Lytechinus pictus: one gene and its partner. The protein of the gene in region 1 purifies or fractionates together with the protein of each later gene. This does not show direct contact. Links are inferred from orthologs where the notes say so. Each region holds a gene or a part of one and is shown on either strand. Other genes may lie near its edges.

Region 1 (7,402 bases):
CAAACATGGCTCAAACTGTAAAACAACTCACTTTTACACAACTCATGCACCATTAAGAGTGTAAATGCAACAAAATGCAGAATATATTTTTTTTTAAAGAATTTGACTGAAAAACTGATAATTCTTGACAACCAATTTAGTGTGTATTATACAGAGAACGGGCCAATAATCATTTTTATCACATTAAGAGTACTTGATTCATGCTTTTGCAATGGTTTACCCATTTTATTCAAAGTATAAAAATCAGAGCAACAAGTAAAATTAATATCTCAACCCAAAGCATGCATTTCTCACCAGGGAATAATTTTCCTCCTCAAAATTTGATTAGCATTTCTGGTTGTATCTTCCAACAATATTTTGTAAAGTGATGAAAAAATGGAGAGCTAATAGCAATGTGATACCAGAAAAATTATCAGCTGTAACCAATAAATCTGTAAATGAGAATGCTTCAGGATCTTTCATAGCATGAAAATATGGCAATACTCACCACAAACCCAAAGCCATTTTTTAGATTGATTTCACGTATTCTACCAAAACCTCTGAAAAACCTTTCAACATCCCTCTCTCGAGCTTGGTAGCTCAACCTTCCAACATAGACTCTTCCACTTGACATTATCTAGAAAGGAATTAATGTGAGACAGATAAATTAGTTAATTAATTTTAGTCCTTAACTTCAGTCTTTAACGAAATCAAAATTACGAATCTTTATATAGACTGAAGTTAAAAACTAAAATTATGTGAACAAATGGGTAAGCTGCTGCAGATCTTTCGAACGCTAAGAATTCGCGCATCTGTATTGGTTGGCCATTTCGTGAGCATTTTGAAAGGGAGGAAACGGATGCCAGTGCATTTTTTCCCCAAGGTCTACCTACTGCTTCAATGTTAGGAGCCTACAGTCAGTTAGACAAACATCAGTAGAATTGAGGTGGGTGAATGATTTCTTTTTTTTATTTGGGGTGTTTTTGGTACCCCATTGGTACCCCAGCCTCTGGGTTAATGCTTATGGTACAAGTAAAAATGAATTATACTTATAATAATAATAATTTGTAATGAAGTATTAAATTTTATTATTTGTTAAATAATGTTTATCTATAAATTGTTCTTCAAAACAGCATTTTGTAACATCGCTAATCAAAGGTACGTCATAACGAAGCGGTTCAAGGGTCAAGCCTATTGTATTTGCTTTGTTGACAAACGGATCGGTCTGGTAAGATACCTCATATTTCACATTCATAGTGAAATAATTCTTATCCCTTCATATGCATTAGGCATATATGAAGGTTCATAGATAAATAAAATAAATACATACAAACCAATTTCACCGTCTAAATATGGATTTCCTAGGGAAATCCATCCGGGTTTGTAGGTCTCGCTTATGCGTCTACGGGAAGAGTTTCAAGGCTCCGTGATGAAGTATATGTCATAATATTTAAAAATATCATCAGGGAGTCCTCAAGGATAGAAATAAACATGATTTTTATACCATTCAATGATTGTATTTTTGTTTTGGTCCAATTATGCTTAACCTTATAAAGTTTCCGATATTTGGACACTTTACTCTAAGTGAGTTAAAGGTATTGTTTAACTTTGTGAGCAGCCGATTTAAAAAATTCTCAAACCAAGATGAAACAAGTGTACAAGTGCATGTATTAGAACTAATAAACCCTGAAAACAACCATTATTGAGAATGCTAAAACTACAAGGCAAACCCCGATTTTGTAAAAAGGCGTCTTACAGACGCCTAAATAGTACACATAAGTGTATGGGAAGAAATTAAGATAGATGGTGTTTTCAGTCACTTTATATTTCAATTTTTGAAGCACTAAATAATTATTTTCGAACGAAATTTTTTCTGGGCTTCATTTTTATAACATATCACAGACACAGGTGACAAGTGTGACCTTCTAGCTCAGATTTTTAAAAGTCAAACCAATGTTAACCAATCACTTTAACCAAGTTATCTAGACTTTAATGGTTGTGAATGGCATGCACAAAGTCAAATAGGCCTCGGCCTCGTATAGCACAATCCAAATTTTGGAAAGACTTCCTTATGTCCCCTCCACTAAAAAAAAAATACTTCTCCAAAACCCCCTTCTTTCATTCTTATTTTCTTCATTTTTTCTTCATCTTCCACTTTCAGTTTCAGTTGGAACTTGGATTCGAACCTCTCGCTGCAGAACGAGCATCAGACTCCAGTCTGTCGCCTTACTACTCATTGAGCTAGCAGAAATTGTTGAAAGCCATGGGTTTCATAACGGTTATCAACCGATATTACAACTAGTCTACTCCCCAAGAGTATTTATTTTTCTGACTAAATAAAACGATGCCATTACTACATTGGGAATTACACACACTCGAAATTTGGACAGAATATTCAATAAAGCCACGGTATGTATCCAACTTTTCCTTCTTAAATCTCTTAGATATATGTTAGATAATTCTTCATAAACCTCCATATTTTTTTTTCAATTTCAGTGGAGGGGACATATGGAAGTCTTGCCCAAATTTCGATGCCAAGTGGCCAATCATTCCACACGCACAACTCGATGCGATAGATGTGACCTCACGACGCCACCACATATGCACTGCACTGGCACGTGCATATGCCATACTCCATCTCAAATACTCAATTCTCAGACTCATAAAAAAAAAAGATTTTAAAAAACCTTTCTCTTTCACACATTTTTACTCCTAAAAAGTTGAATCAAAGAATTAAAAAAATCTTGAATTAAAAGTACATGATATGAAAGGAATATTAGCCATCAAAACTTACGACTTCTGAAACAAAACACGAAGAAAAAACCTCTCCCAACACAACTGGCCCACAGCTCCGTCCAGGCTCGTCACAAAATGGCGGAAAAGAGAACGCACGCTTTATTTTTTTCATGGTTGAATTGCGCATGCGTAATGTACAAAATACGACTAGTACTAGTCTGCAGGCACAGACCCTTGATTTTCGCAATTCGCATAATGCAGAGTCTGAAGTAGTGAGACTAGATTCAATATATACAATTAAAGGTCAATTCCACCTAAGAATAATGTTGATTTGAATCAATAAGTGAAAAATCAGACAAGCATTATGCTAAAAATTTCATCGAAATCGGATGTATAATAAGAAAAAAGTTATAATATTTAAATTTCCGCTTATATTTCACAAAATAGTTAGATGCACAATTTAGCCACATGCAAATGAGAGAATCGATGATGTCCCTCACTCACTATTATTTTTTTTATTGTTTGAATTATACAATATTTCAATTTTTACAGAGACAACAAGGTCCAACTTGAATGAACCATAAAATGTTATGGTATGCTTAATACAATTGTTTCTAAGTGCAGCATACTATTACCCCGGCTTCATAACACAGCTATACCCTGGTCGGACCTCGAGCATTCAAGCGATATCCTTCTACTGGTTACCCATTTACTACACCTGGGTGCAGAGTGGCAAATGTAGATAAACACCTTGCCAAAGGACTCGAGTGCCGTGGTGGGATTTGAACCCGATACCGTGTGGTTCAAAGCCCGGAGACTTATCCACTGGGCCACAACACCTCTAAACAAACATCATCACACAAAAAAAGAGGAGAAATCAGAAGAAAAAAATTATATTCATCTACTTTGACCCCTTTCACTTACTGACGGGCAGTTGCGTACCTAGAATTTTCCACAGGGGGGCCGGGGCAAATTCGTCCGCCAAAAAAAATTGACAAGCAAAAAAAAAAAAAGGTCTTCAACCACAAATAAAGGATTTCGTACCAGACAAAAAATTTGACAAGCAAAAAAAAAAAAAAAAAAAAAAGGTCTTCAAGACTCGTCAGGGGGGCAATCTGCCCCCCCCCCCCGTAGGTACGCTAGTGCTGACGGGTTGAAATCACTTCACTGCATATAAGGTTGCTTCAAATGCATGTATACGATGAAGTCTCAATGAATTGGGAAATATTTGAGAATAACATGCAACACGCGTCATTTTATTTAAGATCTCATTAAATGAAAGAAGAAAATATCAATATTAAAAGGACAAGTCCATCCCAACAAAAAGTTGATTTGAATAAAAAGAGTAATATACAACAAGCATAACACTGAAAATTTCATCAAAAAGGAATGTAAAATAAGAAAGTTATTGACATTTGAAAGTTTTGCTTAAAGGAGAATGAAACTCTTGGAGCAAGTTAGCTTTTGTGAAAGCAGAAAAATCAAAGAATAAGATCAACAAAAGTTTGAGTAAAATAGGACTAAAGCAATAGAAGAGTTATGAGCATTTGAATGTCGAGATCACTAATGCTATGGAGATCCTCCCATTGGCAATGCGGCCAAGATGTATGATGTCACAGATGAACAACTCTCCCCTTTTGGACACTGAAAATATTTATTTATTTATTTATTTATTTTGTTTTATTTATTTTATACTGCAGGGTAGGCCTGTTCAGTTCTTAAAACTGCTTTACAAAGGCGCCCTGCAGTTTAAAATACATGTCAAGATAACCATGAACAACAACAACAACAACAAACAACATCAAAAATACAAAATAAAAAATATCTAACATCAGAAACAATTAACACCAAAATATAGAGTGGGAAGTGACAATTTAAACATACATAGCATTGTAAATCAATGGAATATCATTTCGCTCTTTATCAATTCGTATGAAAGGCTTTGCATAATTTTTTTAAAACTAACAAGGAGGTACAAACTTGTAAATTTGAAGGAAGTGCATTAAATAATTTGGGTCCGACATATGCGAAAGATTTTCTTTTATGTTCAATTCTAGCTTTGGGAAGCTGAAGGGGGCATCGTAAAGAAAACCGTGTCCTGTATTTCACGGGCCGTTTACATACTAAAGGTTTTAAATAATTTGGAACTAAATCATTCATTATTTTATATACAAGAACACAATACTGATATTTTATACGCTGATCTACTGATTGCCACTTCAGTGACTGCAACAAAGAAATTTGTGATGTATTATAATCTTTTTTTCAAAAGCATTCTGGCATATTTATTTTGAAGTTTTTGTATCTTATTTAAATGTATATTTTGTACTTTTTGCAAAATATACCCCAAAACATTTCTTTTTGCTCATTCTAATCATATGACAATCGATTCATCAATGATATAATGTTGTGAAACCTCTGTACTTGTCCTCTCATAAAGAGAACACCTCACCTTGTGATAGACTCTATAAAAGTGAGAATATAAAGGAAATAAGTACTAAAGTAATGAGGGAGTTGTACGTGTGTGACATCACAGATCTTGGTCGCATTGCCAATGGGAGGAACTACATGGCATTAGTGATCTCAATATTCAAATGCTCATAACTTTCTTATTATTCATTCAATCTTCCTCAAACTTTCAACAATATGTTTCTTTGATTTTTCTCTTTGATATCGATTCAGCTGGGTTCAAGGGTTTCATTCTCCTTTAAGGGGAATCCAGTCTTGGCCATAAAATGTTGTGTTGGGAAGGAGAAAAATAAATTAAACAGAATGGTGAAAGTTTGAAAGAAATCGGACAAGCAATAAGAAAGTTATAGCTGCTTTAAAATTGAGATCACTAATAGTATGTAGATTTCAAATTGGCAACTGGGTAAGTAAATTATGACAAGGGGCAAGGACAACTTTCCCATAGGCCATGTACTTTATTATCAGGGATTTGTGGTTTTCTCCTACGTACCCATTCCCCTGGGGCAGTAATCTAAATATAACCCAGGTAGTATATTGTTTTATGTCCTCATGAAAGAAAAATATAATTTGAAATAAAACTTTTGGGAAAAATTAAATTTTATGCATTGGAGTACATAGAAGAGTAGTCCTTGCCTTACATCACTATGACATCCCATATGCGGCCAATTTGAAGTCTCCATGGGTATAGTGATTACCAATATTTACAACTTTTAAAAATTCATAACTTTCTTGTTGTTTGTCCAATATTGTTCAAACTTTCACCTATCAACTTGTCTGATTTTTCTCTTTCTTGTAAAAACAAGTTTTTATTTGGGTTGGATTCCCCTTTAATTTCACAATTTAGTCATGGACATCCTGGTCGGTTTGTAAATGAGGAGACTGACGAAGTCATCCACTCACTATTTATTTTGTATTTTGTTTGATTAAATATGCAATATTCTACTTTTCTCCTCATTGTCAAGTGAAACAAAGATTAATTCCTCCCTGATGAACATGTAGAATTAGCATTGTCTATAATTATGGTTCATTCAAGTTAATTGGTCCTTATTGTCAAATCTGTAAAAAAATGATATATTGTACGGTATACTTCAAACAATAAAAAAACAAAAGAAATAGTGAGTGAAGGACATCATCGACTGTTTCAATTGCATGTCACTAAATTGTGCATATCACTGTTTTGTGAAACTATAAGCGAATCTTTAAAATGTCATAACTTTCTTATTTTATATCCGATTTTGATGAAATTTTCAGCATGCTAGTTTGATTTTTCTTTATTTATTCAAATCAACATTTTACTGGGATTTTCAGCACGCTATAGTTTTATTTTTCTTTATTTATTCAAATCAACATTTTACTGGGATGGACTTGACCTTTAAGTTACGAACTTTGTAACAGCATGACTTTGCCGGTGAGCCATCACGTTCTTGTTTCAATCGGTCGCGAGCGTTATAAGAATGTTGACATAGAAAGAAGAGAATCATATCTTTTCATTTATGTACATCTCATGAAGTAAATTTATGATCATGACAACCTAAAATTACACTAAATTACGGTTTCGTGTTTTTTTCTTCTGGGATGCACTGTATAGAGAAAGGGGGTGGGGGTACCTATTTGGTATTTTAAAGGAGCACCCCTGGCCCCCTTGTAAAAAAAAGAAAATGTTGGCCGTTTTCAGACTTGGATTTTTTTCTAGTCAATTTCTGGAGGAGTTAAATTTTGACCCTTTTCTTTTTTGCTGCTCATATCCTACCCGTTAAAAAATAATTAATAAATCCAGGATAATGATTGCAGTATAACGGTGTGTGACCCCGGGGTGTGTGACCTTCTTCAGGCCGGGAAGTTTTTTTTTTTTGTCGCAGAAAGGCCACTCTACTTTGCCTCTGCCCGACGACCCGAATGGCTGACGGAAATTACCGAGAGATCGATCTCGAGCGAGTATGGATGCCCATTCTTATGTAGCTAGCTAGGCTCAACTCGAAGCTCTGCGAGCCCCACGGCCTATGGCGGAGCATCCGAAGCCATGCATGCATCGTGCATGGTGTGTGAGGCCTGAGCATTCAAGTCGACTCTCTTGCAGCTAGCTTGGACTGAAGTTTGAACTCGTGGCCTGTGAGGTTCTGAAAGTGAATGTTTAGTGATCCGCCTTACCAGTTGCGGTGCTTCCTTCTTGATCATTTTGAATTAACAAGCATTTTACCTTCCCCCTGATTCGCGGTTC
Region 2 (7,566 bases), on another chromosome or scaffold:
ATGATGTCTCCATCCTGCAGCAAGATCTTCAAACCCTATCAGATTGGTCAGCAAAGTGGCTTATGGCTTTTAATGTCAAGAAGTGTGCTTCCCTTACCATTACTAGGAAGCGAGCTCCCATACAACACAACTACAGGCTTTCCAATGAGGTAATAGCAAAGGTCGACCAATACAAATACCTCGGAGTCACCATCTCCAAAGACCTCCGATGGAATACGCACTGTCAACTTATTGCGAACAAGGCCAGCAAAACCCTTGGGTTGCTGAGAAGAACTCTCTCACCTTGTTCTGAAAAGGCCAAATCAAATGCGTATATGGCCTTGGTTCGACCGCAGCTTGAGTATGGTGCTGAAGCCTGGAATCCCCACACCTCTACTACGGCTGCAAGCCTGGAAAGGGTACAGAAAACAGCTGCTCGCTTTGTGACCCGCGACTATAGAAAATCTACATCAGCCTCAGGACTTGTCTCAAATTTGGGATGGGACCAGCTGCACACACGTCGTATCCTTGCACAAAGCACCATGCTCTATCAGATATACCACCAGTTTGTGAATATCCAGCTTCCACACTTCATAACCCAGGCTCCATACATCAGTAGAAGAGATCATATGCTAAAACTCTCTGTACCACAAGCAACGATTGATGCATACAAATTTTCATATTATCCCCGTACCATTCGTATCTGGAACCATCTACCAGCTAAAGCAGTTACTGCCCCATCAGTTGCTGTCTTCCGGGGGGCTGCCCTTCCTGTCATCAGAGGGTTAAAGCCTCATGTAGGTTCCAGGATGCTGTAAGCACTAGGAGCATGATTTTTACTTGCACTTCACCAATTTTATTGTAAATAGAATTCCAACAAAATTGTCTGCACCATCACCTTCTGTCACACTCACAGCACATCCCATCCCAGTTTAGCTTGGAAGAGCTGCTTAAGGGATTATTCCTTCAAGGTTCAAGGGAGCCCACCGCATCGGGTAGCTCGACTGCCAAGAGACCGGCTGTGACAAGGGTAGCTCGCTTCTCTTATATCTGGACAGCTCAACGATAGAATCTTTTAATTTAATTTTAATTTTTTTGTTGATTTGAATATATTCTATAACAATTCAGATACATAATTGGATCGTAGTTCTACTTACCATTAAAAAATTTCGATCATTTGCGCATCCAAAAATTTGATGAACTTTCAAGCTCCGATATCCACACTTCAAATCACAGGCGAGTATCCACATTGAAACTTATATGTACAGAAAGAGCACATTTTCAACTGTCTGTATCAAGGCACGAGATTGCATCAACTATGTGCGCATGCGCATGAAACCCCATTTTTGATGAGCCTCCCAGACAGAGGCGATGCCACTTGCAGCGAAACCCGCGCGAAAACCGTGCAGCCAAAACCAGCGCTCGCGATGCGCCCGTATTCGCACATACCTACATTGCTACAAAAAGGGAATTTTTTCCTACTACAGTCTACAGGGAATATTTTGGGGGGCACTTGCCCCCCCCCCCCCTTTCCCACCCCCAGTTCCGCTGCCCCTGGTCTAGCTCATGATTATGCTTAGGCCTAGATCTAAGTGTCCTGGCACGTCTTTATACTCTTATTTATTTGGGGCAACAAGACCTCCCACGAAAACGAACGAATGGGACCGTGCAAAAAAAATTAATGCAAGCTGATTCGTTGAAATTCTCCAACAGTACCCCATACTTACTGCCATCCTTTTGAGATCTTGCAGCTATCCAGTGTCTCAATCGTTTGATTGCCCTGTCACGTATTTTCTTTTCATTTGAAGCAAGTCTCTGAGCAAAATGAATTTCGACGCTGTGCGGCGATTGTCCACATGGCGCTGCCATCTTTGATCACGTAGTTTACATTACAGGAGCATGGGTGTAGTCTTCGGGTACAGACCTTCGGTTTTCGCATACTAGTATTCATAATTTTATTTTTTTTAGTAGAAGAAAAAAGAGAAGAAGTGTAATGATTTGCTGATAACATCATAACAGACATGGGTGTCGATCACGGGGGGGATGGGGGGATATATCCCCCCCAATATTTCAAGTGGGGGGGATGGCCTGTATTATCATCCCCCCCCCCCCAATAATTTAGGGTAGAAAATTTATAATAATGATGATGAAAAAATGAAAAGTTTGATCATGATCGATGATTATAGTGATGATTATAGTATGCCATCAATCCTTTTGTTTCCCTCGCAATTTGTGTATATTGTTATTAAATAAAAACATTCTTTTCCAGGACTTAACAGATGGGTGGAGGTTCAAGATGAAAATGAATGAAATGTTTATGTATATGATATTTTTTAACACATGACATAAAAGGACCCCGACGAAAAACAACTTTTGTTAATAGGGTGTTCCATCCCACCAGTGGTAATATGATCATATTTTAACAATTTTTTAATAATTGAAATCAATTAATGGTTTCAAAAAGAATAATCATTCATTTCTCTCTAAAGCGTATCTTCGGATATGAACATCGGATGTTTTTTTCATGTTATTCTTGTTGTTGTTATGGATTTGAATAACTAAACTTGATTGATTTTTTCTTATTTTGGCAAAAAGAAATAGACAGCGGATAGATAGACGTGATGTGACGTGGTCTTGGCGTCCTGAGATTATTGCCAAGATTTGCAAGAAGATACTGATTTCTTTTCTATTTTTTATGACTTGACTTAATTGTGATTGTAAACACCTATGTTTTCGTGATGTAATTGCCACAAAATTTTCGTTATTGGACTGATCTGGAGGGAGAAACAGCAAATCTGCATTGCCGAACGATCAGCATTTGAACGTAACTATATATATTCTCTCAGTCCCATATGTACTTTTGATCGTCACATATATCCGTGTGTATACTGTTCCCGCCTAAGCCTTACGTTCGCTTCGGTGTCCGATCATGGCGGGTAAGGGGGATGGCGCCAGAGTGAAGCGCACCCCTAAAAGCAAGAAAAAGGTGAAACATACCAATCCAAATGATTCTGAATGTGATATAGCTGATGACACTGTTACGATTGATATGTCTGAACATTCACCTAATGATGATTATCACCTTCAAACAATTCTCACTAAATTACTCAAAACAAAAGAATTCATGAAAACACTGGAGACTGTAGTGTCTGTAAAGAAACAATGGATAAAGTAGTGAATGTTCAATGTGAAAACATGCGTCGCCACATAGAAGAAAATGAATCAGCCATCATTCAACTTCAAAATTCTTTGGAGAGTAAAGAGAAAGAAACATATATTCTGGAGAAACAGCTACAGAATGAAATCGAGAAAAGAGAAGACGTGGAGCGCCAATTGAATATTCTCGAGCAGTATACAAGGAGAAACAGCATTAGAATTTTTGGTGTGAAAGAGAAAATAGGTGAAGATACCGATCAAATAGCAATTGACATTGCCAAGGATCAGCTTGGGTTCAAGTTGAAAAAACACCACATCGATCGATCCCATCGAGTAGGTCAAAAAGATCCAACCAAGGCTAAACCCATCATCGTTAAATTGTGTTCCTACAAACAGAAGACGCAATTTATGAAAGCGAAAAAGACATTGAAAGGGAGTGGAATTTCTATTCAAGAAGATTTGACACTGACAACCCTCAAACTCCTCAAGAAGACAAGCCAACACAAAAATGTAAACGCGGCATGGACAAGTGATGGCCGTATTATCGCCTCGGTTAAAACGACAGATCCTAACACTTCAATGAAGAAACAAATCTTCAGAGAAAGTGACCTTCTTGCCTTATAAACTCTATTAACGCTACAGTTTGTCTATTCCATATGGGCAATTTTAGTAGATCCTGAAAAACTGTGTTATATTAAATACCCTTCTATAATATTTACGAAACTGTTGTTTAAATCAAACCACATTGTATTGTAACTCAACATTAATATATATATATACTAGTATACATAATCATAAAGATTGTAATTTTATATTCTGCATTTGAATAACTCTTTGTATGTCTCAATACAACTTCAACCCGATAAATTTATGGGTTAAATTACTGTCTGTATCCAATGCCTATCAACATACCATTGATATATGCATACTTACATTATTATATTATCATGTGTCTATATATTTGCTGAAGGCAAACCTAAAATTGACGAATTTTCCTCCAGATTATCCGAATTGTTTATGCGCTAAATAATATATAGTAATTGTTTTATACTTTTATATTCTATTTCATTATTATACACCATTATATTGTTTAGATCTTTGCTTATAGTGTGTACATATTCTATATTAGATCTTTAATGGGCTTTTGTATATGTTTTTCCTGCGTATTTAGTCTCTCAAAGTCATATTGTAACAATTGCCATTTCCACTTTAAGAACATGTCTTTAGATATCAATGCCAGTGTCTTAACGATAGTAGTGTACTGCATAAACGAACAATGTAAATCCTTAGATGGTTGAGTCTTTAAACATGTCTTTTTCTGAAGAAGAACTCAAATCTAATGAATGCCACTATTATTTACCCGATGAGTTTAATTCCTGTCATAATAACAACAAGTCTTATTTCAGCTTACTACATTTAAATGCCCGGAGTTTAAGTCGCAACTTTGACAGTGTATCTAATCTACTTAAATCCCTGAACAATTCGCTATCCATCATTGGAGTAAGTGAATCATGGTTAAACCCTAATTCTCCTTCTTTATTCAATTTAGAAGGTTATCAGATGTTACGGTCGGACAGATTACACGGACGTGGAGGAGGCGTAGTATTATATGTAAAAGAAGATATTTCCTTTCAATTAACGACCCCTCTGTCCGAATCACCAGACTTTGAGATGCTTTTTGTAGAAATTACCAATGTCAAATGTAAAAATGTAATTGTAGGTGTAGCGTATCGTCCACCCGGTACGAATATTGAATCATTCACTCTTCAATTAGAATCATGTATCAGTAATTTTTCGAAAGGTGGTAAACATATTTATCTAATGGGCGACTTTAATGTAAACTTACTTACAAAAAACGACCAGACTTATAATACATTCATGTCGTTTCTGAATAGTTACGCCCTCTATCCATTAATAGATAAGCCTACCAGAGTATCCCCGGCATCCGCAACGCTTTTAGATAACATTTTCACAAATGTTGTAAGAGAAGATTTCCAAAGTGGTATTTTATATTCTGATATATCAGATCACCTTCCTATTTTTACAATATCAAGAAAAACACAAGGGAAACGATGTGAATCTAATGAATATTTTAATAGACAATATTCAATCGAAAATATAAACTCCCTTAAAATCGACCTTATAATAGAAACTTGGTCAGATGTATTTCAAGAAACACATGACGTGAACATAGCATATGAACTTTTTCTTCAAAAATTTAAGGAATATTATGATAAAAATATACCTTGTTTGCTCAAAAAGAAAAGAAAAAATAATATTCATAATCCCTGGATTACTAATGCGATAATGAATTCTATCCGAAAAAAGAACCGATTATATAAGTTGTATATACGCAATCCTAGCAATACCGTCCAACATAACATATTTAAGGCTTATCGTAACAAACTAACAGCCGTTATTAGAGCATCACGCAAAATGTATTATACAAATAAACTTAAAAGAGTATCGGGAAATATGTCTGCTACCTGGTCCATCTTAAACAATATCTTAGGTAGGGGCAAAAGAACAGAATTCACAAAAGAAATGTACTCTGAAAAAGAAAAGACACGTGACCCACAGAAAATTGTAAACATCTTAAACAAATATTTTGTAAACATAGGGCCAACGTTATCAAAAACTTTTATAACTAATGAGCACTCTTTTAAAGATTTTTTACCTGATCGAGCTGAAAACTCGATATTTTTCAAACCCGTAAGACCACACGAAGTTATATCCATAGTAAAATCCCTTAAAAATACCAAAACTTGTGGTCATGACGATATTAACTCACTTATCTTAAAACAAATAATCTTTTTTATAGCTGAACCACTATGTCATATTTTCAACTTATCATTGTCTCTTGGATGCTATCCGAATTCTTTCAAATTAGCACGGGTCGTACCAATATTCAAAAAGGGAAATCGTATCCAATGTGAAAATTACCGACCTATATCTATCTTACCCTCTTTATCTAAAATCTTAGAAAGAATAATCCATATCCAGGTATATATTTTTTTAGACAAAAACAAATTACTTTGCACCGCCCAATATGGTTTTAGGAGACAACATTCAACTGAATTAGCAGTTTTGGACTTATATGATAGAATAACCAAATCCCTTGCAAAAAAACAATATATAACTGGATTATTTTTGGACCTTTCAAAAGCGTTCGACACGCTTGATCATTCAATATTAATACATAAACTTGAACGTTATATGGTATAAGGGGTACGCCTCTTGCATGGTTCAAAGATTATTTAAAGAACAGAATTCAATACACTGAGGTCGACTTAAATGTATCACAAATTTTAGAACTCCAGTGTGGCGTCCCACAAGGATCCATTCTTGGGCCGCTTCTTTTTATAATATATATGAACGACATTGTAAATTCTTCCAAAATGCTTAGCTATGTGTTATTTGCAGATGATACGACACTGTTATATTCCCATCATGATTTTAATAAAATGATCGTCACTATCAATGTAGAATTACGTAAACTAACCAACTGGCTACAATGTAATAAGTTATCTCTAAACCTCAGTAAAACCAATTATATTATATTTCACAACCCAATAAAAAAGATTATGGAAGACCAGTGCCAAATCTTAATAGACAATACCCTAATTGAAAGGAAAACTAATGTTAAATTTCTTGGCGTTGTTCTCGATCAACATTTAAATTGGAATTTGCATTTTCAGCATCTAAGAACTCATATTTCTAGATTTATTGGTATAATGTTTAAACTTAAAGATACGTTAATGCCAAAGTCTATTATACTATTGTACAATTCTTTTATATTATCTTATTTATCTTATGCTAATATTGCGTGGGGTTGTGGAACCAAAAGAAATGTTAATTCCTTATTGCTACTGCAGAAAAGAGCCATAAGAATTTGCACAGGTTCTCCTTACTTAGCCCATACTGATCCAATTTTCAAAAAACTGAACATATTAAAAATATCTGATATCAATATCTTACAAACTGCAAATTTTATGTTCAATTATACTAATCACTTGGTTCCAAGCAATTTTAATTCAATGTTTATACGCAATAACCAGGTTCATGAACACAATACCAGAGGTTCTAACAATTTTCATCTTAGTAATCCCAAAACAGTACTTGCTTATAAATCCATTAGACATAGAGGACCTGATGTTTGGCACTCGCTGCCTTGTGAAATTAAAAAATGTTCTTCGCTTTATTCTTTTAAACGTAAGCTAAAAAAACACATTATATCATCATATGACTCATAAATATTCTTAAAGTGTATTTTGATAATTTATATATTGTTACACTGGCTTCCAGTTCCCGATGGGGGATGGGGGGGGGGTTAGGACATTTGTATTTATATTTTTTTCATCCTGTTCATGTCATCATTTTAACCTATGCCAATATATGTATTGCCATGATGGCACTCGGGGTCTGCCTCGT

Evidence for each region. The genes of interacting proteins can lie anywhere in the genome.
Region 2: the proteins of serine/arginine-rich splicing factor 5-like (region 1) and ribosomal RNA processing protein 1 homolog A-like purify together in Homo sapiens (affinity purification with mass spectrometry; 3 studies listed by BioGRID and IntAct, with this or other methods). This does not show direct contact. The link is inferred for Lytechinus pictus from reciprocal best matches to the Homo sapiens genes SRSF6 and RRP1B.

Annotation. Positions count from the first base shown.
Region 1 is NC_087251.1:24,525,845-24,533,246, reverse strand, and holds the start of serine/arginine-rich splicing factor 5-like, read right to left. Parts: upstream 3,109-7,402; 5' UTR 2,903-3,108; coding exon 2,774-2,902; intron 617-2,773; coding exon 488-616; intron 1-487. UniProt on the Homo sapiens protein: Plays a role in constitutive splicing and modulates the selection of alternative splice sites. Plays a role in the alternative splicing of MAPT/Tau exon 10. Binds to alternative exons of TNC pre-mRNA and promotes the expression of alternatively spliced TNC.
Region 2 is NC_087252.1:14,096,396-14,103,961, forward strand, and holds the start of ribosomal RNA processing protein 1 homolog A-like, read right to left. Parts: upstream 3,036-7,566; 5' UTR 2,977-3,035; intron 1,920-2,976; 5' UTR 1,849-1,919; coding exon 1,707-1,848; intron 1-1,706. UniProt on the Homo sapiens protein: Positively regulates DNA damage-induced apoptosis by acting as a transcriptional coactivator of proapoptotic target genes of the transcriptional activator E2F1.